Diceros bicornis minor: one gene and its partners. Each later gene encodes a partner of the first gene's protein in a complex. Links are inferred from orthologs where the notes say so. Each region holds a gene or a part of one and is shown in the gene's direction. Other genes may lie near its edges. The genes, in order: NDUFAF1, TMEM126B, cytochrome c oxidase assembly factor 1 homolog and TMEM186.

Region 1 (7,808 bases):
TGGGAAGCTAGTGGACCAAAAGCCTCAGTTCGCTCGGCTCTGGGATCTTTGCCGCTCTTCCCAGGCCTCCGCACCGGACCGGAACTCGAGTGTCCTATTGCCTGGTTTGGCGCCGGATGGCAAAGGCAGACGGACCTACACGGGAAAAGTGGAGAACCCGGTTAGGAAAAGCAGGGGACCCTGGCGGAAGCCTCTGTTGGGCGTCAGCCGGCTGTTGGTGCGTCCGGGAGTGGGGGGCCACAGAGCGCTAGCAGGTGAGGGTTGAGGGGCCGCCTGGCTGCGGCGCTGTCCCTTCTGTTTCCCGGACCCGAATCGGGAGCTAAACACCGGGGCTCTAGAGTTTTGCCACTTACTAGCTGTATGACCCCGGGTAATTTAATCTTGGGACCTCGGTCTCTATAATTGGAATAATAATAGTACCTCTCTCAGAGTTGTTGTGAGGGGTTAAAGAAAATGCACTTAGAACAGTTTCTGGCACATGCTGAGCCCTGGATATACAGTTTTTACTAAGACTAATGGCTTGTAGCTGCGTGGGTTACGTTGCCGTCAAAACTCGCTGTCAACTTTGGCCTGGCATCGTCCAGTGAATAGGTTTGACTTTATGTTTATTGGTAAAAATATGAAACAAAACATTTATAATGTTAGAGAAATAACAGCATTACTGAGGGTTTGGAAAATAGGGTGAATAATATTACTCATAATTCCATCAGCCTACACACGATTTTAAAGCCCTTTTTCTTTCCCCCCAAGTCTTTTTTGTCTGTACATTTTTATACTCCTAATGTTATAGTAAATGCCATTTTGATTCCTCCTTATATGCCACTTAGTAGTGTAGCCTAAGCATGGGGTTCACAAGAATCGTTTTTATGATTGTACAAATTCCACTTTATGGGCTTGTTTTCCGAATTCCTGTATATGTAGAGGTAAAATCATTTAAGCACAAGTGAGGGAAATTTAAATAGTACCTATGATTCTGGGACCACTGATCAACTATTTTTGTTTTTTCTGGTTCCCTTCTATTTTTAGTCCACGTGAAAACATATCGTTTACATGGTTTTCATTTATTTTCAGCAAACATTATTGAACATCAGTTATGTTCAAGCCATAGTCCCTAAGATTAAGGAGGTCAGGCTAGTTATGTAGACAGATAGAAGGCAAGAGTCTAAGGTTACGTAAGGGCTATGAACGTGTGCACAGGTTCTTATGAGACCATGGAAGGAGAGCAATGTCAGTGCCCTCCAGTCAGAACTGCCCTACAGTTCCCTCCAGGAACGTGCCTCTAGTTGAGCAAGTTGGGTTTATTACTCCTTGTAGTGAGGGAGAACACACACCATGGGACACCATGGGGCATCTCAGTAAGAGGATGTTGAAAGGGACTTATTATTAGATTTAGGCTTGTGTTAGGTGATTTTTGGGAAAGTAGTCAGGAGGTGGAGATAGTTCTACGATTAGTTATCTTAAATCTAATGTAGGAGGGAATCTTACCCATCTAGAGTGAGGCTAGTGCCATGGCTGGTTAGGATACAGCAGTCACTCATATTAGCCAGCATGGTAGAATGTTTGGTCACTTTTGTGGTTTGAACAATGTTTGTTTGTTTTTTTTTCCTGTGTTCAGATGTGATTATGGTTGGTCTTATTAGAGCTGAGGATATTGCCCATGGATATGAGGAGAAGTTAGGTCAGGGAATTGAGCACATTTTGGAGGGCCTTGTGTGCCATTTTAGGAGTTTGAATTTCTGGGGGGAATTGCTGAATTATTATAAGAGGAATGCCATCATATTTAGAAAAATCCCTTTTGTTGCCAGGCAAAGGATGGATTGGGAGAGGAGGGGGAGGTTAGAGTCAGGGGGATGAGTTAGGACTTTGCTATGTAAAGGCTGTCCCATGGGCCAAAACCAAGGGCATCACCTGGGAGCTTGTTAGAAATGCAGAATCTCAGGCCCGCCCCTATACCTACTAAATCAGAATCTGCATTTTAACCAAATTCCCAGATGACTCATAAGGACCCTCAAGTTTGAGAAGCCCTTTGTTAGGGGAATTACAGTATTCCTGGTAAGAAGCAATAAGGCCCTGAACCAAGACGCTGATGGCGGAGGTGGAGAAATGTGGAGATATTATTTATTCAACAAATATTAGAAGCCTCTTGCATGCCTGGCACCATACTGGGAGCTGGGAGTACCACAATGAAGATAGTCTCTCCCCTGAAGGCACTTCCAGCCTGGTGGGGGAGACTGACAAGTGAATTGGTCAGTAAATTGTAGCAGGGAAAGTGTAAACTCAGTGTGCAGTGAGAACACATCAGAGGGGCAACAGTCTTGTGGAGTTGTAGTCAAGGAAGGGTTCTTGGAGGAGGTAACGGATGTCTAAGCTGAGTCCCAAAGTATAAATTAGCTAGTCAAATTCAGTAGAGGGCGTTCTCCTAGGAGCAGCAATTGGCCAAGACCTGAAGCCCAGAGAGGTAGTACTGGGTGGTACCTGTTGGACTGCAAGTACTCTCTGTGATTGGAGCACAGAGTGGGGTATGACTAGAGGTGAGGTTGGAGAGATGAGCAGAGGCCAGATCTGGAGGAGTCTTGTAGACCCTGTGGAGAAAGTTGGGCTTTATTCTGAAGACTAAGAGAGCCTCTGAAGTGTTTTAATCAGAGAAGATAAATGATCATTTTGGTGTGTTAGGCCCTTCTAGATGCTGAGTGGTTGATGAGGTGGTGAGGATTACAAGCCTGGAGGCAGGAAGCAGAGTGCAGTGATCTAAGAGAGAGAAGGTATGACCCACCTGATGTGGGCAGTGAGGAAGGAGGGGCATTCTAGAAGGATGACCAGTCCTATGTTGTAGTTAGCCATTTTGATGTGGACTCAGGCAACTGAAGCAGGTGAGCTGGTTTGTTGGATTTTTGGCATTTCTGAGGCTTTTTTTTTTTAATGTTTTCACTGTTCCGTTTAGTGTCTCACTCAGCACCATGTTCTGACTAGTGGGTGAGTTTTTTTTGTTTGTTTGTTTTGTTTTTGTTTTTGTTTTTCAGGTTGAAGCACATTTAATCCTTTTTCTTCTCAAATTTTGAAAGTGAGCATTTGGACATTTGGTAATTGTTAGAGGTAGATTCTAATGTTTACAGTTTTTTTCTTTCTAATAGAGGAAGGAAGGCAATGTCTTCCTAGAGAATCCTAGGGTAATTATTGGCAGTTTATTACATGTTTGTTGCTCCAATGTTTAACCACTAGAAAGAGAAATATTCTGGTAGTAGTTAGATTATTGACATCAGGCAATTAGCAAAGAAAATATGGCTTTCTTATAAATCAGCTATTGTGGGTTTTTTCCTTCAGCTTCATTGAAATATAATTGACATTGTATAAGTTTAAGGTGCACCTCGTGTTGATTTGATGCACTTATGTGTATGATTACACCATATTATTAGCTGACACCTTAGTGGGTGAGTTTTTGGTTTTGTGTTTTCTCTTTTCTGGTCTCTGGGGCCGGGAGAGGAGAAAGGCAAATAAATTGGCCTTGGGTATTTTATTTCCCTTTAGAGGTAGCTGGAATAGATAGAAGAGGGGACTAGTCTAGCCTTCCTGATTCTGGCAGCACTTCCTGCCAGCACTCATTAAATGTTGCTGCTAGAAGCAAAGTTGTTATTTTATTAGAGCTATAGAAGTTATATTGCTAATGTTTTACATATAGATAGGCAGCAGCATCTAGTGGAAGGACATAAGGCCAGGGTTCTAGTTCTAACTTTGATACCAATTAGCAATGTGAGCTTAGGCAAGTCACTTTACCTGTTGGTGTCAGTTTCCTAGAAAAAGGAAATATCTAGTTGACTTGCCTTACAGGATCCTTATGTGGATTAAATGAGATAATATATGTCAGAGTGATATGAAAATATTAAGAATGATATTTAAAGATATGTTATGGTATTATTGCTACTATTGCTTAGGTTCTATCTTTGAGGAGCTTGAATAGTGACATAGTCAAAGCCTTGTTACTCAAAGTATGAGCCCTGGACTAGGACCTTGTTAGATGTGAAGAATCTTGGGGATCTTGTCAGACTTAATGGATCAGAGAGCCCTCATATAGTCATTATTCCATCTGATCTTCAGAAGAATCCCTTAAGGTACGTGGGGGAGGTGTTAACACAGTCTTACTCCCGAGGAAATGGAGGCCTCAAAAGATGAACTGCTTTAACTGAGGGTAAACAGGTTTATTACATTTAACCATGTGAAATTGCCAGTATTCACAATACTCGTAACCTAATAAGTGGGCAGAGCCAGGTGTCAAGTCCAAGTTTTCTGAGTCCGCATACAATGCTCACTGTAGTCCTTGTTTTTATGATGAAGTGCTGAAGTGTTAAGTCGGTTGGCTCAGGTCCTAGAGTGAATTAATTGTATATTTTATTTTAGGAACCAATTGTTTCTTTAAAAATCTAGCATAAAAATTTGCTTTAAGGTTGATAAAACCTCTTTAGGTAGCTTTCAGCACATATTGGAATAATTTTTGGGTTGATCGTTAGCTCTATGGACGGGCCTGTGTTTTTATTCGTCTTGGTATTTTTTTTCACACAGCAGTGGGATGCATTACATACAGTGCAAATAGTGCTCTGCTCATAATAGGGCCTGGGTAAATATTTATAGAATTAGAAAATAAATTCATGAATTTCATAATACATTATCCGTGTTGAATTTGAAATTGTGGTGCATTCATTGCTGTACTGGTAACTCTTCAACGTCTTTTCTGTTATAGGTGGAACTGGGCTATTTGCTTCTTTCCGTGGTAGCCCAGTGAGAAATTTACATTTTGACTTGCTCTCACCATGGCTTTGGTTCACAAATTGCTGAATGGCGCTTATATTCTCAGAAAATGCCTGAAGCTGAGTGTTGCATCATATCCACTTTGGGGTAGTCGCTTTGCAGACTATTGTTCCAGTAGTCTTCAGAAACCAGTGGCTGTTTCTGGCAAAGCTTCCTCTCAGAGGAAGACTGAAGGGGATTTGCAAGGACATCACCAGAGAGATGTTGCTTTGGATATAACTTCTCCTGAGGAGAAGCCTGAAGTTAGTTTTGATAAAGCAATTAAAGATGAGATAAAGGACCATTTTTCACGTTTGAAGGATGATATTGTGAATCATTGGATAGGGCCTGAAGGCCGCCCTCTGCATGAGGTCTTCCTGGAACAAGCCAAGGTTGTCTGGAAGTTCCGTGGAAAAGAAGATTTGGATAAGTGGATAGTGACTTCTGATAAGACAATTGGAGGCAGAAGTGAAGTGTTCCTGAAAATGGGCAAGAATAACCAAAGTGCACTACTGTATGGGACTCTGAGCTCTGAGGCGCCTCAGGATGGGGAGAGTGGCCGCAGTGGGTACTGTGCAATGATATCCAGGATTCCAAGGGTAGGTGAGGCCCAGCAGCCTCAGTTTTCTAGTGAACTGGGGTGAACTTCATTGTAGCATGAACTATAGCAGACAGCTTTTGTTTCTGTAAATGAAAACACCTGGTATCTCTTCTGTGTATGGGGTTAAATAACTACTGGGCACAAGTGTAAAGCGGAAGCACAAGGAGGAAATGGTTCTAGAGGAGGAGTTTCTTGTTTCTGGGCATCACCTTGGGCCAAGGTGGGACATTCTTATGTTTGAGGAGCCCTGAGAGGTTAGACATTTGAAAGATGATCTGGGGAGATTCACATCTCCTCTAACGTAGACCATAGAACCCATAATGTCCAGGGGTTCCTTAGAGTGGATGTAGGGTCAGCTTGTGGCTTTTTTTTTTAAGTAAACTTAATTTTAGAAGTTTTAGATTTACAGAAAAATTGCAAAGATAGTACAGAGAGTTCCTGTATGCACCTCACCCAGCTTCTCCAGTTGTTAACTTCTTACATTACTATAGTCCATTTGTCCCAACTAAGAAACCAACATTGGTACACTACTATTAGATAAATTCCAGACTGTATTGGATTTCACTAGTTTTTCCACTAATATCCTTTTTCTATTCCAGAATACCACATTACATCTAGTCATGTCTCCTTAATCTCCTCTGGTCTGTGACAGTTTCCTGGTATTTCCTTATTTTTCTTGAGGATTTGAGAAATACTGGTCAGGTATTTTGTAGAATGACCCTCAGTTTGGGATTTTCTGATGTTTTTTTGTCCTGGTTAGGCTGGGGTTCTGGGTTTTTAGGAAGAATACTACAGAGTTGAAGTACTCTTCTCATCACATCATATCAGGGGTCATGCTAGCAACATGACTTATCACTATTGTGTTAACCTTGATCACCTGGTCAAGGTAGTGTTCCAGGTTACCATTGTTAAGTTACTTGTTTTTCTCTCCTTTCCATACTCTGTTCTTTGGAAGAACACCCTACATTGAATGTGAGTGGTGGGGCATGGGTTTAAGCTCTATCTCCTGGAAGTAGTGGTGTTCACATAAATTATTTGGGATTCTTCAGTAAAGGTTTGTTTCTTCTCCCACACTTATTTATTTATTCAGTCATTTAGTATGAACTCACACTTTGGATTATAATTCAATACTATGTTATTTATTTTGTTGTTCAAATTGTTCCAGCTTTGGCCATTGGGCGCTCTTTCAGGTTGGTTCCTATCCCTTTGATATGCCCCCACCCTTTTGTGTTTTGAGCACTCTTTGGAACTATAAGATGCTCTAAGCTCATCTTGTATTTTCCCTGTTCCAACCCTAGAATTAACCATTTCTCAAAGGAGCCCTGGTTCCTTTTTTTGGATAATGGTATTAGAAACCAAGATCTGGGTGCTGAGTATGCTTGTTGCTACTGGGTTGCCACTACTTCTAGGCGCTCTCAGTGGACACAGCTGGGAAATATATGTATGCATACCAACGTGTGGAAACACACTTGTCTATAATTTCTATATTTATATTAACCTAAATATGAGTTCATACTGATGGTCTGACTAATCTAGTACCATATGATTCATTCTAGCCTTCCCCCTCTTATCTGTAACTTCTCTCTAACAGTGAGAAACCTGTCTCCCATCATTTACCATCCGTTTACTTATTAATTATACTAAATAAGTAACATTACTTATACATGTAAAGCACTTTTGGAATTTTTAACCCATAACTCTGAGAGAAATAACTTTACCAACTAGAGTACAATGTTGACATATAGTTCGTTTTATCTGTAGCGTTACAGTTTCCAGTCAGAACACTATTTTCCAAAGTTACTTAGGTCAGCTCTTTTGTCTTCACTACCAGTCTATGGCTTTTTGCAAATTTGCCCACCAGGCTTTGTTTCAGGGTGGGCTGGACAGGCTCCCGTGCCTGGCCTTGGCCACAGCCCCTGATGTTTGCTTGGATATTGTGCTTTAAGGAGAAAGGCAAATGTTAGGAGTAGTCTGAGGCTCCCTCTCTCCGGATAATGATGAAAAAGAAAAGTATGTGTTCTTTCAGAGGCAACAAACTTTGCATACAAAATTTTTTTCTGGCACTGAAAATCCACAAAATGGATTTGGTCAGTCCACAGTAGAAAATAATTGTGGCTAGTTACCTACTTTGGAGTAATGAAAATAGTTGATAACATTTATTAAATGTACCCTGCCAGTCCTTGTGCTAATTACTTTATATACATTATCCCTTTTATTCCTCACAACAATCTTGTAAGGTATGATCATCCCAATTGTACAGATGAGGAAACTGAGTCTTGGGGAGATTTAGTAACTTGTCCAAAGTTACACAGCTAGTAAATAATAGTTCATATCTGAGCACTGGTATTCTTGAAATCAGAATACCTCTGAGATTGCTATAAACACCTTTGGAAACTAACACTAAATCCCACTTTCAAAGAGAGAGAGA
Region 2 (7,665 bases), on another chromosome or scaffold:
TCCTGTGGCTTAGCGGTTAAGTGCTCACACTCCGCTGCTGGCGGCCGGGGTTCAGATCCCGGGCGCACACCGACACACCGCTTCTCCGGCCATGCTGAGGCCGCGTCCCACATACAGCAACTAGAAGGATGTGCGACTATGACGTACAACTATCTACTGGGGCTTTGGGGGGAAAAAAATAAATAAATAAAATCTTTAAAAAGAAAAAAGATTCGGGGCCGGCCCGGTGGCGCAAGCGGTTAAGTGCGCGCGATCCGCTGCGGCGGCCCGGGGTTCGCTGGTTCGGATCCCGGGCGTGCACCGACGCACTGCTTGGTAAGCCATGCTGTGGCGGCGTCCCATATAAAGTGGAGGAAGATGGGCACGGATGTTAGCCCAGGGCCGTCTTCCTCAGCAAAAAAAGAGGAGGATTGGCGGATGTTAGCTCAGGGCTGATCTCCTCACAAAAAAAAAAAAAAAAAAAAAGAAAAAAGATTCAAGATGACAGAGGACAGTGCAGAATAAATCTAGGTTATACTTTAAAATATTTGTTTTACTTATATTTTAGAAACAGTATAGATAGTAAGCTTAACCAGTTAAAAATATAATGCACAGGTCATAACTTGTTTGGCTAGTTGTCTATAATATTCAAAAATATATATCTTAATACTAATAGTTTTAAGCTATTAAAAAAAGATAAACTACTTCTCTAGGTAAATTACATAATGCATATATCTTAGTATAATCCACATATATACATGTTTTGCTAATTAGAACTGATTGATTCCTTAAAAAATTTGATCCATTACTATCAAACCATTGTCAAAGAAGAAAGAAAGAAGAGGAGGGAGGGAAGAGGAGAGGAAAGAGAGGGAGGGAAAAAGGAAGGGAGGGAGAGAGAAAGGAAGAAAGGAAAGAAGGAAGAGAGGGAGGGGGAAGGAAGGAAATAAATATCAAATTATTTCTCATAAAGTAAGATTTTCAATAACGTATCAGCAATTTTCCTTTAAAGGTAGGAACTTTTAATAAACTCAGTCTATTGGGTTTAGAAACCTTAAGTTCACTCTGCTTAGTTAAGTTATACCTAGAACATCAATTGCCCTTCCTCCTCCTCCTTCCCAGATACCTTTTTATGCCTTTCTCTGTCTCTCCCCCTCCCTCTCTCCTTTCTCTCTCCCCCTCTTCTCTTCTTTCTCTCTCTCTTTCTCTCACACATACACACACACACAGACATAAAGCGTTTAATTCAATTAGTAGTCTAAAATAAAGTAGTCCAAAAGGGACACTGTGTACAGAACAATAAATGGTAGACAGAGTAAAAACACACAGCAAGCTAAATAAGTCAAAGAGCCATATCTTTTATTTGCTACATTCCCAAAACCACTCTTGTTCCAGATAAACCAATTGTGTCAGGTCTGGACAGGTGTGGCTCCAAAATCTCATAGTTTACTTCTCTCAGTGATATTATGGGGGAGAGCAGAAGGAAACAATCCCAGTCTTAAATCCCAGTGTATAAAGGGACAGTTCTAGGTGTTTCAAAAGTTTTATATATCATTGCTCATCTCTACAGATACCAGTTGGGATAAAGCATCTCACTGATTATAAGTTTCTTCAATGCACCTTTCAAATCCACAGGTAGAAGGATTAAACATCATGCAGAACCAGGTTGCACTTTAACCTTCACCCTGGGCTTTAGTCTCAGACTGCAGCAACTCATATAACTAGTCAACATTTGGATCTATGCTAGCCCAGTACAGTAGAGTTCAAAGGTGTTCATATAAATTTTGGTTCAAAACTCTCAAGAAAACTCTTTATAGTTGATCTGATCTTCCATACAACGTCAAAAAAACCAAACCTGTTTCACTAGGATCCTTAAGAACAAAGTTCACCTTGGTAGATCTAGGCTAAAGTGAATCCTCAAGATCTGACCTATAATAAACTATACCTCAGGAACCCACTGGATTTTGATCAATTCGGGGTGGGGGGGTGGGTTGGGCGCAGAGTGTCAGGTGTTTGCTTCATTTTGGGAACTTGCCAATCATGTTATTGGATAATGCATGCATCTGAAAAGCACAACAGTTACCAAAGTTGTGCTTTTTCACAAAAGTGAAGATTTACACTAGTGTAAACCCAAATACTAAATCTATTTTTTAATCAAAAGATAAATAATAAGTCTATAATTTTTTTCAGTGCAAACAACTTTACTATCTTTTACAACTATGTAATTTGCTTGATAAATATTAAATCCATGAGGAAGAACTCTACTGTACAAGTTTTTTAAAGATTCTTTAAAGTAACCTTTAACAAGCTAAGAAAACAAGCTAAAGAAAAATCAAAACCTGTGGTATCAAATCTACGCTGATTATAAATGGTGATTTAGACAACCTGATTTATGAAATCACAAATGTCTGTAATTAAATACTATAGTCCTACTTCATTTCACTTTAGCAAAATAATATTACTGAATGATGTATCACTGAAAAGACATTATTACAGTAAATATTTCCCCAAACTCAAACAAAATTTTACTCTCAAATGGAATACAATTTAAATTGCGAATACCAGAATGAAGAACATGAAGAAACATATACTATACAGGAAGCCTCATAGCCCACCTTTCTTTTTGACTGGCATTCTTGGGTCTTTGCACTGCCACAGGATTCAAGATCTCTTTTCAGGTCTCAACTTGATCCAGCTGGATTGAGGCCAAGAGCCAGGTAACTGTTGCAAATTACTTTACTGTTCAGTTTTGAAATCCAGGCTGTCTTCTCTTTCACATAAAGAAAAAAAGACGTATATTTTCCACAGTTAAACTTTTGACACTGCCCACACAGTTTAGAGAAAAATAACTTTTGAGTTTTTCAATTTTTATAAAATATTTGTTCTATTTAAAAAAAAAGCTGAGAAAATTATTGTAAGCATAGAAAACGTTATTAAAACTCCCCTTCAGGCAGCAACATTTTTGGAGTTCAGTGACTAACTCAATTAAGGCACAAACCAAATTTACACAGCTGTCTCATTACTCTATATATGATCAAATTCAAAGATGAACCGCTTGACGATAAAGATTCTCAATTCTTTAGAGAAAATTTTAAACCCCCTCCAAAAAAAAAATACTTAAAAAATCTCTTTGACTCTGGTCTCTAAAAAGGTGGGTGAGTTTGAACAGTTTTCTGGGGCAGAACAGAGACTGAAAGGCCCCTTTCTATTTACTGGACCATAAGTTCCGGATCATCCCCTCAGTAAGACAGAATCCAGCTTGCTGTCACTTCCATTTTTTTCTTCTGTGCTCTCCAAGCCCCTCAGGCTTTATCCTTAAAGCCCCTCTGATTCTGATCCTCCCATGTATTAACCGAGAGGATTGAAAAGAGGAAAGCAATCCCTTGGCATGGAGACATTAAAGTGACAGTGCTACTCAATGGGCACTTGATGCAGGATGAGTTGGCGAAGTAGATTTCTTCACACTGGAGTCATTCACATCATGCCATCTCTTCGCATCCAAGCAGCTCCCTATCCGGCGAGGAAAAACACTGAGACTGTTCGCGAGGAGAAGTCAAACCTTCCCCCAAAGGTGTTTTCTGAGACGCTGTAGTAGTATTAGGCATGTAAGCATAAGCTGTGCAAACGGTTCGCGATTTCCTAAACGAGAGAGTTCGGCTGCTTGGCTTCCACATCCACCCTTTTTCTCAATCTCTCTCCAAACTACCCACCTTCCTTTTGCGGAAAAGACACGAAATCTCTCTGCCACCGCTGGCCACCCCTGCCCACACCCCGCTCTTATACAGAAGAGCAGTGAAATGTCCTGCACCCTCCACGCGACGAAGTGTTTCCTCAGGCAGGAGGAACAGCAGCACTAGAAATTATATAACTCTCGAATTTGGCTTCTCTAAGACATGGAGACTGGAGGGTCGGGGGTTGCTGGTCTGGGAGATACTGCTGGGCAATGAACGTGCACAAAAGGGCGCCAGGCCTCCTCGCAGCGTCCCCCACCCCGAAACACCGGCTGGCAAGGAGGTCTTCTCGGAGAGTGGGGGGCAAACTTCTCTCCAGTCCCTTTCCAAGCAGGGTGAAAGGGTGGAATGTGAGAGGACTCAAGACTGGGGAGAGGAGTCAGGCGGCTGCGAGGGGAGGAGGCTAGTCGGGGCTGTGCTGACGGCCGGCTGGGGGCTCTGGGGAGGAGGTGTCCGAGAAGCTGGAGTCTTAACACACGGACCAGGCCAGAGGGGCCAGCTCCCTCGAGGAGCGAAAGGGGCAGGCAGCTCGGCCGCAGCCAACGGAGGTGCCCTGAGGGGAGGACAGCGCGAAGCAACACCCCCACGCTCGGAACGCCCCACATTCCCCTCAGGGTGGGAGAAGAGCGAGCTAGGCGAACAAACAGCAAGGGAAGGGAACGCAGGGCTGGCGAGGAGGGGCGGGCCCACGGGCGACTGGACCTCCTCGAAGCCAATGAGCGGCAGTAATTTCAGGACGCCGAGCCCAATCACAGCCAGGATGGAGGGCGCGGCTTTTGACTGGGTCGGGGCGGGCCCCGGCTGCAGGAGAGACGCGTGAGCCGGCACCACTTCCCACCCTGGGCGTTCTGGGTTCCCGCCCACCCGCAAGTCACGTGAGCCGCCAAAATGGCGGCGCTGGGGCGTGAGGCTGGGGCTGACCTGAGGGACGCAGGTGTGCAGGTGGGAGCTGGGGGAGCGCCCAAGGTAGGCAAAAACCGGGAGTTCTGTGGGCAGTGATTTCTGCAGCCTCAAAGTGTTGGCAGACTCTTCTGAAATGAGGCATGTAAAAGGGATTTGAAAATCTAAAGAGACCAGCTCCCACATCCATGCAGGTCGTACTTAATTTAGTCCTCAGTTGCTATGGAAAGAGGCAAAGAGAAAGTAGGAGACCTCAAATCTAGTCCTGGTAGCTTGCAGCTTGTTTTCTCTTGCCTCCGAGCGTCTGCACTGGCCTTTGCTTCAACTTGAAATACCTCCCTGCACCTGTGCCTCCCCACCCCACCTCCGCCAAATTCTCCTCTTTCGGATATTCGTTTAAATGTCCCCTCCTCCAGAAAACCTTCCCACACTTCCCCTGGCTAGGTTATGTTTGGCTTTTCTTATGTTTTTTGTTTTGTTTTGATGGCACACTCATCCTGCGTTTAAATTGCCTGCCTTTCTAGTCCTGACTTCCGGCTGGGTTGTGGGTTCGTGAGGATCTTGATTATGGGTGCGGGGGTGGGGGCTGTGGGAGGGGCTGTCAAATACCATGTGCTCCGTAAATGATGAGTGAATGTCGAATAAAATTCTGAAAGTCAAGTGAAATAATATGAATAAAAGCACTACAAAACCGTAAAATGCTTTGTAAACTATAAACCTACATAAATGCACTCTTACTGGTACAATCGTGGTGACCAGTTGAGTGGCCTTAGACTAGTTAATTTTTAGATAAAATGTTGGTTATAGCAAAATCTTTACATTTCAGTACTTGTTAACAATCTATCAGAAAGTGACCAGTTACTTTCTCTGCTTTATTAACAATGCTTTGCAAAGACTAGGCACTCGATAAATATTTGCTGTCGTGTTTCAGTATTTTGAGATCATAATCCTGAGTGTCTGTGTTCCCTAGATACTGAGGCTGTAGACAAGGTAGGAGGTTGGTACAAGGCATTGCCTGAAAGTTTTCTTTGTGGGGAGTAAGGGACTTCAATGAATGGGATGATTGCAAAACAAAAATTTGTCCAAGGTTTCTGGTTATCATGTTACTGACATCTGCCTTCGTGGTACGTTAGATAGATTAGATATAGAATCTCCCTTAGATATTACTATCACTTCTCTTCCATTTTCCATTTAAATGTCAGAGAGAGAAAAAAGATTAAACCTAGTCCCTGAGAAATTGTAATTTGTAACATTTTTTTTTTTCCTGTCCTCCTCAGATATGTTAGGGAAAGAGAACTGGCTTGAGTACAGTTCTACAATGTTGCAGGGGAAGAAACTGGTCCATTATTATTCATAATGTAATACCATATGAAGTTTCAAAGGAACTCATACCTTTAGGATGTTGATGCCATGGATGAATTGGCCTTTTGTTAGTTAGGATTAGGATTGGTACATATCACTTATTTAGCAAATGAGTATTACAGTGATGTTCACCATGGGTCCATTGACTGCCAGCATCAGAATCACTTGGTGTTACTAAAATGTAGATTTCTAGGCTTCACCCTACTCCTCTTGAATACACATATCTCAGGAGGGAGCTGAAGAGACTGCATTTCAAATAAACTCCCCATGTGATTCTTGTGCACACTAAAGGTTGAGAATCACTGATTTATTAAGTATCTTCTCGGTTTATTTTGCTTACTCTACTCTATTCTCTTGCCCAAGACTTCTGAAATTTGAGATTTAATCCATGCCCTTAACTATAAAGGTTGTTAAAATGGAGACTGGTATAAAATGTGAAGGGCCAGAGATTTTGTTATTCGTTCATTGGCTAATCTGGAATCCCATTGATGGCAGCATAGTAAAAGATTTAACAAATGTTATTTTTAAGACTTTTCACAGAGATCTGAGAATCTTACCCAGAGCAAAAGATTCAGAAAAGATCCTTTCTGAGGATCCAGGTTTTTTTTTTTTTTTTTTTACCACTGGTTTCTGGTAAGAAGCTACTAGCCAAACCCTTATGGTCCCTTGACATTGGCAACTGTCTGTTCATACATCACACTTGGGACACAGGAACCTTCCAACCCTGGAGCCCAGTGCCATGTGTCCAGGCTCCGTGGTATACCAAATAGCAATTTCCAGCAAAGGCCCTGCTTCTGCCCAAGGTGCTGCTAGAGAGCTGGATATATAACTTATATGATCCAAAGTAGCCATGATCCACTATGTCTTCCTGGCCTGGAAGAGTGTCCCTCCTTCTGGTGTTCTCTCTTGCTGTTCTCTAAGGCAATCCCCGCTCTCTCCTGCCGTTCCAGGAAACTCAACATAATCTCCAAAATGAGCTCAGGCTTTCATGAGACAGAGGATAGAGATAGTTGTCAACAAGTAGCTACTGTTTCCTTCCAGCTCTGAAAAAGCTACAGCAAGGAGAACTAAAACAAAGGGCCTGGGTACCTTCAGGGAAAACTGTAAGGAAAACAAAAACTCAGTATTTCAATAAGTTATCCTTCTACACTAAGTCCTAAGGCAAGTCACCCTTTCTGAGCCTCATTTTTCTCATCTATAAAAGTAGAGATGATCATTATCCTACTAGTTTCTCAAAGTTATTGTGTGAATCAAAAAGCGATTGTCTAGCAGATCGTAAGAGCTCACTAAATGTTGACTGAATCATTAACAAAGTGTGTGAAAGCAGATGACAGTTACCTGACACATTACTGGGGTCTAAATGTTTTTTAATCTGAATCTGTAGAATTTTTAAGATTTAATATTAATATCGTTAGCTATTATGGTTCTGGAATTTTGTGTTTTCCAGGACATCAGGATGGCAACATACACACATGGTCAGCCCAGTCCTTCTCTAGGAGATGCAAAACTCAGAAGACCAATGGTCATCGAAATCATAGAAAAAAAATTTGAATATCTTAGAAAAGAAAAGTAAGAGACACCCCCAGACTGAAAGTCAATAACTTTTATTTGCAGATCTTCTGTATTGCCATTGTTTCTGAGTATCTAAGATCCTATTAACTTTATTGAGTTGTTTATGAAGAAAGCTTTTAAA
Region 3 (7,883 bases), on another chromosome or scaffold:
CCTTTACTAAATTTTTATCTAGAACTTCTGCTAATTTCTGAGAGAAGTGTTGACAGATCCAACTATAACTGTGGATTTGTCTATTTCTCTTTTCATTCTGCCAGTCTCACCTGTGGTGGGCAGCAGCTGATGTCTCTCTTCAGTTTTTGAGCCTCAGATAGCTCAAAAGTCTGCTCCACATGTGTGTGTTTCAGGTGTCAGCCAGAAATATGGGCAATTCATACACAGAATTTGGTCTTCTTCCTCTCTAACTTCTCTCCTTTTTGGGATTTTTATATCTTCGTGATGACGTAACCTCCTTATCATTATAACTGTCCCTATTTTCTACAACCAGCATATTTGAACTGTTACAATTTCCTATAAAACTACAGTAGATCCATGCAATTTCCTGTAACAAACATGTAGAACAAGCATAGACTTTGGATTAAAGGTGACATTTTATAAGAGATAACAAAAAACTTTTCCAGGGTTAAAAATCAGGATATCACAAGGGAATTTCTTGTAAACGAACTAGTCAGGACTCAATTTCATGATGATAGTACGTAAGATAAGTAAGAAAGAACATTCATCCCACTTAGTTAATGTTAATTTTATTAGTGTCTTTGAGGCAAATATTGTCTAATTTACATTTAGTTTTATGACAAGATGCAATGGCATGCTCAATGCTTTGTTTTCTCAAAGCCTCTGTGTCAAATTTTTCCCTATTCTCTCAATAGCTGGATACTTCCTTAACATGATAATAGATATCTACCTCAGTCCCCTAAACTAGCAGCATGCTAAATGGGAAAATTCTAGAGATATCCCATTAAAGGTAGGAATAAGACAAGGAAGCCCACTGTCTTCACTATTATTAAATATTTTTTGCTGGAAATACTATCCAATGCAATTAGATATGAGAAATTAGAAGTACAGTCATTGATGGTGTTCAGGGCAAGCCGCCCGAAGATGTGCCACTCTGGTATGTGGATTATTTCGACATAATAAGACAATAAAGGCTCAGAAGATGCAGGAGAACATTTGAGCTTCCCCTCCCAAACTGCCTAAAGAATTTAATGTAGAATGCCTGTTACAGGAAGGAGCCACTACCATATGATGGCTGTAGTATATAATGTAAAATAAATGCGATAAGAAAGGCACCAACAAGCCCATCTTATCAAAAATTCTGTCTCTCCAGCCACATTCTCTATAGGTGGCCCTGTAAAGATCTGCCTGACAAACATTTGCATTTCCATCTCCATGTGAATTGTCTTCTTCCCCTCTGAAATCCCAAACCACTACCCCCAACAACCTCCCTGCCTTTAGCTGAAAATACTTAAGTGAGCAGCTTAGTCAGAAGCACGAGTTGCTCAGTTTCTATTTTCTGAGTTTCTCCCATGTATACATGTTCTTAAACTTTGTTTGATTTTCTCCTGCTAGCCTGCATTTTTAATTATTTGGCCAGCCATAAGAACCTTAAAGGAAAGGGTGGGGAGGCATTCTCCCTCTTCCCCAACATCATGCAACACATAATGAGGTTTCGCGGTCAACGACGGACTGCATATATGATGGGGGTCCTGTAAGGTTAGTACCATATAGCCTAGGTGTGTAGTAGGCTATACCATCTAGGTTTGTGTAAGTACACTCAGAATGTATACCTGTCAGTAAGCGATGTATGACTGTATAAAATTTGGAAGGATTAGGTAAAACTATCACTATTTCAATGATATGATTGCAATCCTAGAAAATATAAAAGAATCAACTCCAAACAATAAGGTAACTTAGTAAGGTAGCAGAGTAAAATATTAATATGCAGAAAATGATATGTCCACGTATATAAACAACTACCATGTGTAGTAACTCCATTCAGATTTGATAGTTCCAGGCTGCTGCTGAAATACTGGATATGCTGTATTGGATCCTGCCATTGTTGAGTGCATTTCTCAAAGTGGCCATCTCACCACTTAACAGTACCCCTCATAGACAGCATTATAGCCAACACTCCTCCTCTTTCCACCTCCTACCCCTGCCCTGGCTCCTTAGAAGTTAAGAGGTAGTGAAACAGATTCTTTCCTTAAATATATAAAAAAGAGAGAGACAGGGCCAGCCCCGTGGCTTAGCGGTTAAGTGTGCACGCTACGCTACTGGTGGCCCAGGTTCAGATCCCGGGCATGCACCGATGCACTGCTTGTCCAGCCATGCTGAGGCCGCATCCCACATACAGCAACTAGAAGGATGTGCAACTATGACACACAACTATCTACTGGGGCTTTGGGGAAGAAAAAAAGGAGGCGGATTGGCAATAGATGTTAGCTCAGAGCCGGTCTTCCTCAGCAAAAAGAGGAGGATTAGCACGGATGTTAGCTCAGGGCTGATCTTCCTCACACACAAAAAAATAAATAAATAAATAAAAAGAAAAGAGAGAGAGGTATGAATCAGATAGGATACTTTTGACTATAAGAAACAGAATCCTTGTCTCAAGCTGACTTAACAATAATAACTAACATTTTGAACGTTTAAAACATTACCAGCACTATTTTAACTCATTTAATCTTCACACTATCTCTATCAGAAAACAAGAAGGAAACATCAGATATCCCTACAAGAAGTTCATAAAGAGGGTGAGCTCCAGGCTTGGAATAATATTTCTATCACTTTGTTCAGCTGTCCTCAGCATCAGCTTTGATTGAGCTAACTTGAGGCACTTGCTCATCCCTTGACCAACAACTATTCCTAGAGGAATTCTGTATGGTGATTGGTTTAGATTTAATCAGTATCATTTTATAGTGCTGGGAATAGGGTGGCTATCTGAACAAGATGTGGGTTTCGTAACAAAGGAGTAAGAGGAGAATAAATATCAGATACATACCAACATTAACTATAAACTATTAAACCATATTAAAATTTAGATCAAAACTTTAGTAGATGTAAGTCCAGTGATAGAAAGGTAAATTCTGAGTTTTCAAGCAAATGGTCAGAAAAGCCTATTTTATGCTTTCTTTTTACAAAGTAATCATGTTTCTCTTTCTGGTATGGTATAGGAGCTAAGTGATCCAGGGTTCATTTTCACAAATACTGTATAAAATACACATATACAAAACCTCATAAGGTTTTTGTTACTTGATTTATTATATGAAATCTCAAGCTTGGTGTAAGACATTGCAATCTTTTTTTTTTGTGAGGAAGATATTAGCCCTGTGCTAACATCTGCCAATCCTCCTCTTTTTTTGCTGAGGAAGACTGGCCCTCGGCTAACATCCGTGCCCATCTTCCCCTACTTTATATGGGATGCCACCAAAGCATGGCTTGCCAAGCAGTGCATTGGTGCATGCTCGGGATCCGAACCGGTGAACCCTGGGACGCCGCAGCGGAGTGCGCGCACTTAACCGCTTGCGCCACTGGGCTGGCCCCAGACATTGCAATCTTAATCTCTTTGGGTTTTAAGAAGTCAATAATCAATGTCAGATCAATGAAGATTAATCAATGGATGCCTATTTTATTTCTTCATTTCCTCTGATGTAAGGAACCATTCAAATAGTCCTTATAGTTCAAGCACCTTAAAATCTGATTAGTTTCTATTAATTCTTCATAAAAGAACTATTCTGGGGATCCATAATTTAATGACAGGCCTCTTTGATAATGTGCTCTTTTAGCCAGTGGACTCCAAAGTGATGGCATGTATGTATGGCAACCTATTTGTTGCATGGGCAGAAAACAGAACTTCTATTAATATTTTTATTTCACCTTTCTAAAGTTCTATTTCTTGTGAAAATTTTATAGTATGCATAATATATATCAATACCATACATAGTACGCGTATATAATCTAATTTTATTTCTGATAGGGAGGTGTGATCAAGAGTTTGAAGACCACAGCCTTAGACTAAACTTGAATAGTCTGGCTATGGTTATGCGGTAACCATAACTCCATCACCCTGGAGTTATGGTTATGATGTGTATGAACACATCACATTTAGGTGACCCATCAATCGTGAGACTCATTGCTTTGTGGAAGAAAGGTACTTGGACTCTAAGCTTCACATTGAAAATGTAAATGATGATGAAAACAGTGGTGATGATGGCAATGGAACGGTCAAGATGAAAATAACAGCTAACGCTTATTGAGCACTTACAAAGTGCCAGACGATTCTAAGTGCTTTACACCCTCACAAGAAATCTATGAGGTACTATCATTATCCATTGTAGGATTCTATCATTATCTATTTTACTACTAAACTCCATGAAAACAGAGACCATTAGTTTTTTCTTACCCTTGCATTCCCTGGAGCACAGTAGGCATTTCATAAATATTTGGTGAATAAAAGAAAATTGAGCGTTGCCAAATTTCTCAGCCGAATAGGGCAAGGTGGATTTCACCGCCAGCGTGGGGCTCAGATCCCCGTGGCTTCGCGTCCTCGCGGGAGAGCCGAAGCGTCAGATCTCTGCGGGGAGCAATAGGAACCAGGGCTTTAAACTTCCTCGGCCAGCGCTCCCGGACTGCATATGTGTGTTGGGGGCTAACGGGACGTATAAAACAAAAAGCGGGGATCTGAGGAGACGAACCCGTTCCCGACGCAAATCCGAGCGTCTAGGAAGCTAAGCCACACAGCCCAGGCCGTCCCAGCCCGCGCCCAGCCGCTCGCGGGCCTTCGGGCGCCAGCCATCCCGACGCTCTAGCCCCGCGAGGCGGCGACGCCGGAAGTCTCGACTGCTCCCCGCGGGGCGCGCCCACCCGCGGCTCTGCCCACCCACTGCCCACATCCGGAAGGAGCCCGTCTGCTTCCTGCCGCGTGGTGCCTGTGTCCCTGACAGGTCAGCCTTCGCCCCTCGGCCTGGGATGCGCGAGAGGGGTGCGCGCCTCTCCTACCGCCAGAAGCGCTGGTTCCCGCAGTCCGGGCGGCCGCGTTTGCGCGGCGGGCGGGCTGCTGCAAGGGCAGCCCCCTCAGGGGTCACCTCCCGGCGGCTCGCGACCTCCCTGGGCTGCGTGGATGGCGCCTGGGGGCCCGTGGTGGGCTCCGCGCCTTGAGACGCTGCAAGGCGCCCGTCCCCTTGGAGCTGTGAGGCCGTGCGCAGCTGACCGTCGCCTCGCCCTGCGGTCCTTCCTGGGCGTGCCAAGAGCCCGTTTGTGAAGAGTCGGGGTCCTCCCGGAGAGGCGACAGTGGCGCTCTGTTGGTAGTCCTGAATCACGACTCTCTGAGGAGGACCCTGCCCAGATGACTGTGCGAGAGAATTTTCTGGCGCAGTGGTCATAATAGTTTTTGTCCCCATCGAACTTGAGCTCCATACAGAGGCTGACCATACAAGTGATTTTCAGTGTGGGTGACGGGGCGTGTGTGTGTGTGTGTGTGTGTGTGTGTGTGTGCGTGCGCGCGCGCGCGCGCGCGCGGTGTGCTGTGTGATTTAAGAAACCCATAAAGATTCTTACATTTTGACATTTGCTTCTCATTTCTTCCCCCAGCTCCTCCCCGTTCTCACCTGAGGGCTATTGCTCTACTTCAGCTTTGGACAGAATAGCAACACCACTTACACTTTGCACATTTAAAACACAGATCTGATTGTGTTATTCTTCTCAAAGTCTTATTGGTCCTCCCGTTGATTCAGGATAATACGAATTTCTTAGCCTGGCATCAAGACCCTTCAAGGTCTTGCTTCTACTGAGTTTTTCAGTCTCATCTCCTTTTATGAAAAACACGGTTATAGATACGTACTGTATGCTCCCGCCTTGCCAACCTGCAGTAATTTCATGACTTTGAATATGACGAGGTTTTATAATGGTTTGCTCACATTTTGAAATTTATTTTTCCATTTAGTCAGAATTTATTGAATTCCTGATATTGCTAGGCAGTGTTTTAGGAGCTGGGGATATAACGGGAAAAAAAGTCACAATCTACAGTCCTTTTAAAAAATAGCTTAATTGAGGTGTAGTTCGCATACCATAGAATTTACTCATTTAAAATATATTGATTTTTAGTACACTTACGAAGTTGTATAGCCATCACCACAATCAATTTCAAAACATTTTCGTCACCCCAAAAAGAAAACCCTGTACCCATTAGCAGTCTCTTCTGATTTCCCGTCTACTCAACCCTACTCCTAGCCCTGTGCAACTACTGTACTAATCTACTGTCTATATATTTGCATATTCTGGACAATCCATATAAATGAAATGATAGGGTATGTGGTTTTTTTTGATTGTTTTCTTTCACTTAACATTTATGTTTATTCATGTTGTAGTATCGGTACATTCCTTTTTTTTTGCTAGGTGATATTTCATTGTGTGGATATACCACTATTTATTTATCCATTGGTCAGCTGATGGACATTGGAGTTGTTTTGGCTGTCATAATGCTGCTATGAACATTCATGTACAAGTTTTTGTGTGAACAGCATGTTTTCATTTCTCTTGGGTGTATACTTAAGAGTAGAATTGCTGAGTCATATGGTAACTCTTATGTTTAACGTTTTGAGGAACTGCCAGACTGTTTTCTAAAGCGGCTGCACCATTTTATATTCCCATCAGCAGTCTATGACGGTTCTGATTTCTTCACATCCTCGCCAACACTTGTCATTATCTGTTTTTTTAATTCCACCCATCCTAGTGGGTGTGAAGTATATCTCATTGTGGTTTTGATTTGCATTTCTCTGATAGCTAATGATGTTGAGCATGTTTTCATGTGCTGTGAGCCATTTGTTTATCGTCTTTGGAGAAACGTCTATTCATATCCTTTGCTGATTTTTAAGTTAGGTTGTCTTTTCATTGTTGAATTGTAAGTGTTCTTTATATATTCTAGATACAAGTCTCTTATCAGATATATGTTGGTCTTGTAGATTATGCTATAGTTCCTTTAAATGAAGAGCACATAAGGTTAATTTTTAGTCTTCCTGGAGACCATGTTATAGCTCTGTGGGGGTAGTTCAGAGAGTGAGTTGAATAACAACTTCAATGAGTGGAGGACCAGGCCCCGGAAAAAATGCTGTGAAGAAGCTGTGAGCAGCATTTTAAGATTTGAAAAACAAAGCAGGGGGAAATAGTTTATAATCTATTCCCTATTGAGTTTTGTCTTTTCCTTATTGATTTGTAGGAGTTCTGTGGTAGAGATGTTAACCCACTGACTGTTAGATATGTGGCAGATATTTTCAGTCTATTTGCCTGTTAACTTTGTTTTATATCTTTTGCTATGCTAATGTTTTACATTTTTGTGTAGACAGGACTCACAATCTTTTCCTTTAAGAGGCTTCTGGGTGGTAGTTTGGGATATTATTCTCAAATTGCAGGACTTATAGAAACTGACATAGTAGTTCCCTGGTTGTGTGATGTCTGAGTCCCTGGTACCGTATTTAACTTTATAGTGTTCATTGTTTCAGACACTGGTGCCTCCCTATCTCTCTGCCTTGAAAAATATGTGTAACCTGCTTCAGCTTTGTTGGTTCATTTAATTTTCTGTTTCAAATAGACTCCTAGAAGTTATTCCCTTATTTATGTTTAATATACTGCATTAGGTTTGTGTGAACCATGTTGGACAGTGGTCATCGAATAGTAGGTGCTTATTTCATGCTGGCAGAAGTTTATTAGAAGATTTTTTTCTGTGCAGAACTTGACTATAACTATGCTGGTTCTATATTGATTGGGGCATGCTGGGAATACTAGTTTTATAAAATCCTATTATTTTGATATTTGTTTTTCTCATTTCATTGGTTTAAATGTAGTGGTAATTGAGATATTTTTAGGATCTCTGAACATTTTGAGAAACATTTTGAGGAAAGCTATACCATAGCTCCCTGGAAAAAGTTGCATCTCTACTCTACATACAACGTGCGAGGCTTCGTTATTTCCCTATGGCCTGATTTGTTAGGAAGACTGTTTCTTGCTTCAATCTTTCTTTGTTTAAATTGTGGTAAAATATACGT
Region 4 (7,110 bases), on another chromosome or scaffold:
GACCTAGCAGACAAAATCTGGAATTGCACTAGGGGCCTCTATGAGTCAACGACTGTGACAACAGGTCCCCGAGTTGCCCAAGTGGTTTACGCAGACCTGACATCAGACGGAGAGGAAATGGGGAAGACTCCTTTGATTGCAAAATATTAAAAGTCCAGTACTAACAATAACAACAACAAAGGCAATACCTCCATCTTCAAACGGAACCCTAAGCGTACCATTTATTCTCTCTCAACCCTGATGCACACTAGTGAGCTGGATGGTACTGTGGTCGGCCATCAGACCTGTTCCACATGTGAATGGGTTGTAGAAGGCACCCAAGTGGCAGCACATACTTCTGGACAGGAAATGAGACCCAGCTGCTTGTGATCACAACAGAGCATCTAAACTACATCCCACTGCAGGAGAGATCTTTAGGGCAAAATAACCACATAGCAAAATTGTCGTGATGTTCCCAAATACCTCTTATGCTGATAATTACAAGGAATTCTTTATAAATCACCCAGACAAAATAAAACACAGAGAAAGATCCAAAAGCTTGAAATTAAGGTGAAAAAAAAATTATAAAAGGCTTTTTTGGGACAATTAAGGAAACCTGACTGGAGTAGAGGAAGCGTCAGCAAAATAAGGCCTGTGGGCCAGAACTGGCCCCTGCCTGTCTCTGTGAAGGACGACTGCAGCACAGCCACGTCCACTCACTTATGCAGTGTCCGCGGCTACAACAGAGCTGAGCAGTCGTGACAGAGAGCACACGGCCTGTGAAGCCTCAACTACTTACTATCTGGCTTTTTACAGAAAAGAGTTTGCTGGCCCTTGGACTGGGGTATTAACACGAGAGAACTGGCGATAGTTTTCTTAGGTGTGATGATGATACTGTGGTTACGACAGACGTTGTCCTCGAGAGATGCAGGCTCAAATATTTAGGGGTAAAGAACTGTGATGACTGCAGCTTAGGAAGTGGTACAGCAAAGATTAAAAAAAAAAGAGATAACGTTAATATCAACCATCGTTGAATTTAAGTGGTAGGGATATGGCTGTTCTGGGCACTATTTTTTCAGTGATTCTGTATGTTTGAAATTTTTCATGATGGAAAGTTGGAAAACAATTCACCTAGCTTTATGCCCCTCTTCTTTTTGCAGGCTTTTCTTCCAAGTCTCGATTGTTTTTAGATGGAATGGCATTTCTCAGGAAAGTACTCAGCACAACAAAATTCTACTAAAACAGTGAAATGTGCAAAGATTTTAATTAGATTTTACCTGTTTAGGTCATATCCTCTTTCAGCAGCTGCAAGAAAAGATAACCTATTCTTCTGCTTCTGGATTGTATTCTGCTTACCAATGTTTGAGAATGCATGTATTGAGAAAGAGAAAGGTTGCATAATGAATAGATTTGTTGCTAAAATAATTTTTATTTTTTACCTACAGCACACAGAAACAATTCTCTCTTAAACTACAGAATTTTTTTTTGAGTGTAAAAATTATTTATGTTCACTGCAAAGAATATAATGTTTAAAATGTTTTAATGCGGGGCCGGCCCCGTGGCTTAGCGGTTAAGTGTGTGTGCTCTGCTACTGGCAGCCCAGGTTCGGATCCCGGGCGTGCACCGACGCACCGCTTCTCCGGCCATGCTGAGGCCGGATTCCACATACAGCAACTAGAAGGATGTGCAACTATGACATACAACTATCTACTGGGACTTTGGGGGGGGGGGGCGGGGAAGGAGGATTAGCATGGATGTCAGCTCAGGGCTGATCTTCCTCACTAAAAAAGAAAAAAAAATGCTTTAAGGGAATAACGGGTTTTAACGGAGTCCAATGGGTTGCCTGGTTTCTTTACTATTTCATACTTTATGCTTATATATCCTGATTCCTTCTGGGAATCAGAAGCATTTCCTAAATTACATACCCAACAATCAGAACAGCTTCCACCTTAGAACAGTGGCAGAAAATGACAAATTTAACAAATAACAATGCCCCGAAGCCCAGAGACTTGTACCAGATCTGCTGTGTGAAATCGAGAAGGTCATGGTTTCACAGGGTCTCAGTTTCCTTACATTTAAAACGTAGTAACAACTATTCTACCCGGGATGAAGGAGGGAGAAAGGTTGAGAGGGTCCAATGACATAATGTAAAGAAGCTTGGAATGTACCCTGCAGACCATTATGGCCAACAGGCCAAATTGAGCAGCTGGCTGTTTTTGTAATAAGTAAATAAAACAAACTTCTACTGGAACACAGCCACGCTGTGTCTACATATGGTCTATGGCTACTTTTGCATTAAAGTCGCATTAGTTACGACAGACCATATGGTCAGCAAAGACAAAAGTATTTGCCATCTGGCTCTTTACAAACCATGAACTGCTGACTTCTGCTCTAGACCACTATGGGCTTTTAACAACTCCCTAGTGTGTCTTGATCACTGAATCTCAAGAGTCAAAAAGAGGCCAGCCCCGTGGCTTAGCGGTTATCTATAAGAATGTGCAACTATGGCATACAACTATCTACTGGGGACGGAATGTCTAAAAGAAAAAACAAAGCCTTGTCGGCAAAAAAAAAAAAAAAAAAGTCAAAAAGGGCCTTTCGAGAACTTGCAGTTGAGTATCATCACTAGGTAAATCAAACCTGCGGCTCACAAAGATAAAATGATATGGTTAGGGTCACACAGTCGACGTGGAATTCTGGAGCATGCCACTACTACCACCTAGCCAAAACTAAGGGTGGCAGGGACAGAACTTGAAGATAGTGAGGCCATTTGGGCCCACTCTCAAGTTCAAATGGCTGGTGTTCAGTGACCAATTTGTGCAACGGGGAGGCCAGAGCAAGCTTGAACACAAATGCTGATCTTAACTCAAACCTATCCGTGCCCGTAGCAGCAAAATTTGGAAGTGGGAAGCACGTTTCCATGGGTCCAAGGGGGCTCTCAGCAGGCAGCCTGTAACAATCTAGGTCTCCTCCATAACCCTAGTCCACTGCAGAGGCTGGAGGAGGGGGTGGTGGCGGCGGATAATATTTATTGGATATCACCGAACACGGCCTACCGTATGCAAGATACTTTCATGAACTTATTTGACTTCATTCGACCTTCACAATCACCATATGTAACACGTAATGTCCCCATTTAAAGCTGTGGATGCTGAGGCCCTGGGGTTAAGCTACTTGCTGAAGGTCACACAGCTGTCCAGAGGTAAAGCTGAGCCTCTACTAGGTCTGTTTGCCTTAGAAACATGCTTTTCCTATCAGGCTACAAGGCACAGCCCATAGTCGACCCGGGCTTGCGGTGCGAGTCCAGAATTGCGTTTCCCAACCCAATACAAACTTCTTGCTCTCAAGAGTTTTTCGGCCCCGTCCCATCTCTCCGAGCAGCCTGAGGTCTTGAAGAGCTGGCTGGGGTTCCGTCGCATCCCTCCAGGGCACCCAGAAGCGAGTTTAGCCCCGCCACAGCAGGGAGGCGGTTCTTGGACGCCCCTCGACGCCCACCCCGGGCGGCCGTTCGTCCCGCATAGGAGCAGCAGGGGGCTCTGCACTGGCTGCTGCCCGCCCGCCGGGCGCCGCCTACCTGCCGTGGTGGCGTCAGGGTGCCGTCCACGTCGAAGAGGCAGAGCGCTGGCCCAGGAGCCGCCATGTCCAGACTTTGCCTCACACGCGACTTGACTCGTTGGCACTGGGAACTCGGCCCGGAACTTCCGGGTTCGGCCCCCGTGTCGCAGGGCACGCCGGGAGGAGGAGAATCCGCTCCCACAATGCCTGGGACTAACGTCAGCTAGTCTCGCCGGACCACAAATCCCAGAGTGCAACGCGCCCCAGAGCTGGCCTACTACGGCCGAGCATGCGCTCTTAAAGTTTCCGGGGGAAGATGGGATTCACTTCCGGCAGCAGGAAGCTGGCCCATGGTAAGAAGGCGAGTGCTGGGAACTCAGGGAGGTGACCTGGTTTTGGGGTCGGAGTCAGGGCTGGGGGAGGCAGGCAGACGCCTGGGGTTCCGATGCGGAGAATCCGCGGCGGATACTTCCGGGGTGGGTTACGATTTGCAATCGCCCGGCTTCCTCTGCGCTCAGGTCACGTGGGCCAGCAACAGCGGTAATTAAATGTGACTGAGTGCGCACCGTGCAAGTCCATCAAGTGCATTTGAGGACTTTAAAAGCATTACCTCAGTCAGCGTGTTCCGAATCCCCATTTGAAAGATGGAGAAACTGAGGCCCACAGAGGAGGAGTAACTTGCCCAAGGACCCGTAGCTGGTGACTGCAGGAGCCAGGACGAGAACCCAGATCTGGCCCGAAAACCCAAGGCATCTTTCCCTGCACTAGTCAAGGTGTAGAACTGTGCGTCTAATAAAATCCTTGGGCCTCATCCCTCCCTCCTCCCTCGTTCTTCCCCCTCCCCCTAACTAGGCTAAGAACACAGCATTTCCCTTCAGCACCCAAGATGACGCTTTCCCCTGACAGAGAATTGGGAAGTTGTTAGGATGCATATCTCTTGGATTTGTTCCCCACCAGAACATTGATTGTTTAGCTTCCTGCTTGGGTAAATGTTCGCACAGCCTTATGCTTCCAGCGCCTGGCCCAGAGTTGGCCCTCCCTGGGTGTTTGACGAATGAATCTCCTTGAACTGCCTAGAGGAAAGAGGATCTGTTTGAATCAGACCCTGCCCCACTCGCTGGCTGTGTGTCTGGGTAAATTTCTTGCCTTCTCTGGGCTTCTCGGTGGTAATGTGGAAGGAGGGATGCTTGTCTTGCGCAGCTTGCATGAAGATCACATGAGGTACAGCATCTGGCTTTCCCTTTCTCTCTGTCTCTGGCAATAATGGCGACCTCACAAGATGGTCGGGAGCCTTGGTGTAAGATGCTTTGCAGATGTCCATTGTGTGATTAGCATGGTTGAGTTCTATGAGAGAAATGGTCTCCTGTCTCCCTTGCAGGCTGCCCTCCTCCGGGTTGTGCCGCGGTTGCCAGGGCCAGCGGCGTGGGGAAGGCCTCTCTACCGGCTATGGTGCTGCAGTGGGCAGGATCCTAGGAGGTGGGTGGGGAACAAGTCGCCCGCCTCCAAGGAGAAGCCACCAGGCACAGAGACAGAGAAATTCCAGATGGTCTACCGATTTGATGCCATCAGAGCCTTCGGGTACTTGTCTCAGCTGAAGGTGGCACAGACGGCCCTGACGGTGGTGGCCCTGCCTCCTGGCCTCTACTGGTACTCCCAGGGCCTCATGACTTTCAACTCCCTGTGCCTCGTGGGCGGGATCGCTGGCTTTGCCCTGGCCATGCTGTGCTGGATGAGTTATTTCTTCCGGAGGCTGGTGGGCATCCTGTACGTGAACGAGTCAGGCACCGTGCTGCGGGTGGCTCACCTGACCTTCTGGGGCTGGCGACAGGACACGTATTGCCCCGTGGCCGACGTGGTCCCCATGACGGAAACCAAGGACCGGCCCCAGGAGCTGTTCGTGCGTATTCAGCAGTACAGCGGGAAGCAGACCTTCTACCTCACCCTGCGCTACGGCCGCATCCTGGACAGGGAGCGTTTCATGCAGGTGTTTGGGATGCTGGACACGCTCAAGTGAACAGCTGGGAGCCGGGCCTCTGGGTCACCCTGGGCCACCTGGATCTCCCATGGGAAGGCCGAGGGTGTGAGTGAGGCTGAAGAAGGGGACCGGCCAGCTGGAGACTTTGCCAAGGCCTCTGGGGACTTGTCTTTTGGGATGCGGAAAATTCACAGGCAGAAGCTAGTAACTGGGTTTAGGAAAGAGGCCCTTCGTGAGAATACTTACTGCACTTGTGTGTGACATTCAAACAGGTAATGGCCAGGAGTTTCTGTTAAGAGCCAGTTCTTGGGGGAAGCTATGCCAGATTCACTCAGACAGTAACTGCTGTGAGGTCGGAAGTCAGAGAGGTGTGGCGGGGAGCACAGGATTGGGAGTTGGAAGACTCCCTGTCCTCAACTCCCTGTCCTCGGGCAGGTTGTTGAGTCTCTCTGAACCTCTGTTTTCAGATCTGTACAATGGAAAATCCTGCCTGTCTATGCGATGAGTGCGAGAACAAATACATGTCAAGGGCTTTCCAAACTCAACAGCCAGGAGCAAACGTGAACCATTAATCCAGGGGAGATGGGGCAGTGAAAGGCTTCTAGGCATTTGGTAGGGATTTTTCGAGCTCTGTGCTGTGCCCCTTCGTGGGCCCGGGGGCAGAAGGAAGGGACTGGGAGGAAGCCTAGAGGTGGGTCATCACATCTTGCCAGGACAGTAACTGCACAGTGGCTGGGGCAGGGATGTTGTCTACACGAGCACAGCCCCCTTGCTAGGACTGTGTTCACCACCCAGGGGTCTAGGGGCTTGCATCTGCAGTGTGATAAAGTCAGATGAACTATATGCTGGGGCATTATTTTATAAACTAAAGCCAGTTATATGCATTGCCCCCCATAATTAGTAATATATGTTTATTATACAATTTGTAATAGAGTAAAGAGGAAGGAAGACATGATCATTATAATTCTGCCACTCAAAAGTCAATGACTAAATGTTGTGTAGCCTTCCTGTCCTTTTTTTATTGTAGGATAATATACGTAACTTAAATTTATCCTTTTAACCATTTCTAAGTGTATAATTCAGTGGTATTAAGTACATTCACAGTGTTGTGAAACCATCACCTTTATCCATTTCCAGAACTTTTTCATCCTCTCAAATAGAAACTCTTGAACCCATTAAACAGGAACTCCTCGTTCCCCCTCCCTCAGCCCTTGGCAACCACTAATCTGCTTTCTGTCTCTATGGATTGGCCTATTCTGGACATTTCATATAAATGGAATCCTACACTGTGTGGCCTTTTGTGTCTGGCTTCTTTCACTTGGCATAATGTTTTCCGGGTTCATCCATGTGGTAGCAGGTATCAGAACTTCATTCCTTTTTTATGGCTGAATAATATATGTATATACCACCTTTTGTTTATCCAGTCATCTGTTGATGGACATTTTGATTGTTTCCACCTTTTGGCTATGGTGAATGATGCTGCTACGAACTAATGCTGCTGTGAACGTTGGTGTAGAAATAGCTGAGAGCCTGCTTTCAGTTCTTTTGGGTGTACACTCAAAAGTGGATGCCTGGATCATACGGTCAGTCTTTTTTTTTTT

The links.
Region 2: NDUFAF1 (region 1) and TMEM126B share a complex: the UniProt entries of both Homo sapiens proteins name them as parts of the mitochondrial complex. The link is inferred for Diceros bicornis minor from reciprocal best matches to the Homo sapiens genes NDUFAF1 and TMEM126B.
Region 3: NDUFAF1 (region 1) and cytochrome c oxidase assembly factor 1 homolog share a complex: the UniProt entries of both Homo sapiens proteins name them as parts of the mitochondrial complex. The link is inferred for Diceros bicornis minor from reciprocal best matches to the Homo sapiens genes NDUFAF1 and COA1.
Region 4: NDUFAF1 (region 1) and TMEM186 share a complex: the UniProt entries of both Homo sapiens proteins name them as parts of the mitochondrial complex. The link is inferred for Diceros bicornis minor from reciprocal best matches to the Homo sapiens genes NDUFAF1 and TMEM186.

Annotation. Positions count from the first base shown.
Region 1 is NC_080744.1:39,107,453-39,115,260, reverse strand, and holds the start of NDUFAF1 (complex I intermediate-associated protein 30, mitochondrial), read left to right. Parts: upstream 1-4,728; 5' UTR 4,729-4,802; coding exon 4,803-5,378; intron 5,379-7,808. UniProt on the Homo sapiens protein: As part of the MCIA complex, involved in the assembly of the mitochondrial complex I.
Region 2 is NC_080746.1:46,900,928-46,908,592, reverse strand, and holds the start of TMEM126B (complex I assembly factor TMEM126B, mitochondrial), read left to right. Parts: upstream 1-4,576; 5' UTR 4,577-4,598; coding exon 4,599-4,676; intron 4,677-7,419; coding exon 7,420-7,541; intron 7,542-7,665. Other genes in the region: DLG2 (disks large homolog 2), read right to left, coding at 2,595-2,613. UniProt on the Homo sapiens protein: As part of the MCIA complex, involved in the assembly of the mitochondrial complex I. Participates in constructing the membrane arm of complex I.
Region 3 is NC_080780.1:901,033-908,915, reverse strand, and holds the start of cytochrome c oxidase assembly factor 1 homolog, read left to right. Parts: upstream 1-4,714; 5' UTR 4,715-4,787; intron 4,788-7,883. Other genes in the region: BLVRA (biliverdin reductase A), read right to left, coding at 4,247-4,280. UniProt on the Homo sapiens protein: Component of the MITRAC (mitochondrial translation regulation assembly intermediate of cytochrome c oxidase complex) complex, that regulates cytochrome c oxidase assembly.
Region 4 is NC_080765.1:40,623,153-40,630,262, forward strand, and holds TMEM186 (transmembrane protein 186), read left to right. Parts: upstream 1-3,946; 5' UTR 3,947-4,813; coding exon 4,814-5,548; 3' UTR 5,549-6,800; downstream 6,801-7,110. Other genes in the region: PMM2 (phosphomannomutase 2), read right to left, coding at 3,554-3,619. UniProt on the Homo sapiens protein: As part of the MCIA complex, required for efficient assembly of the mitochondrial complex I.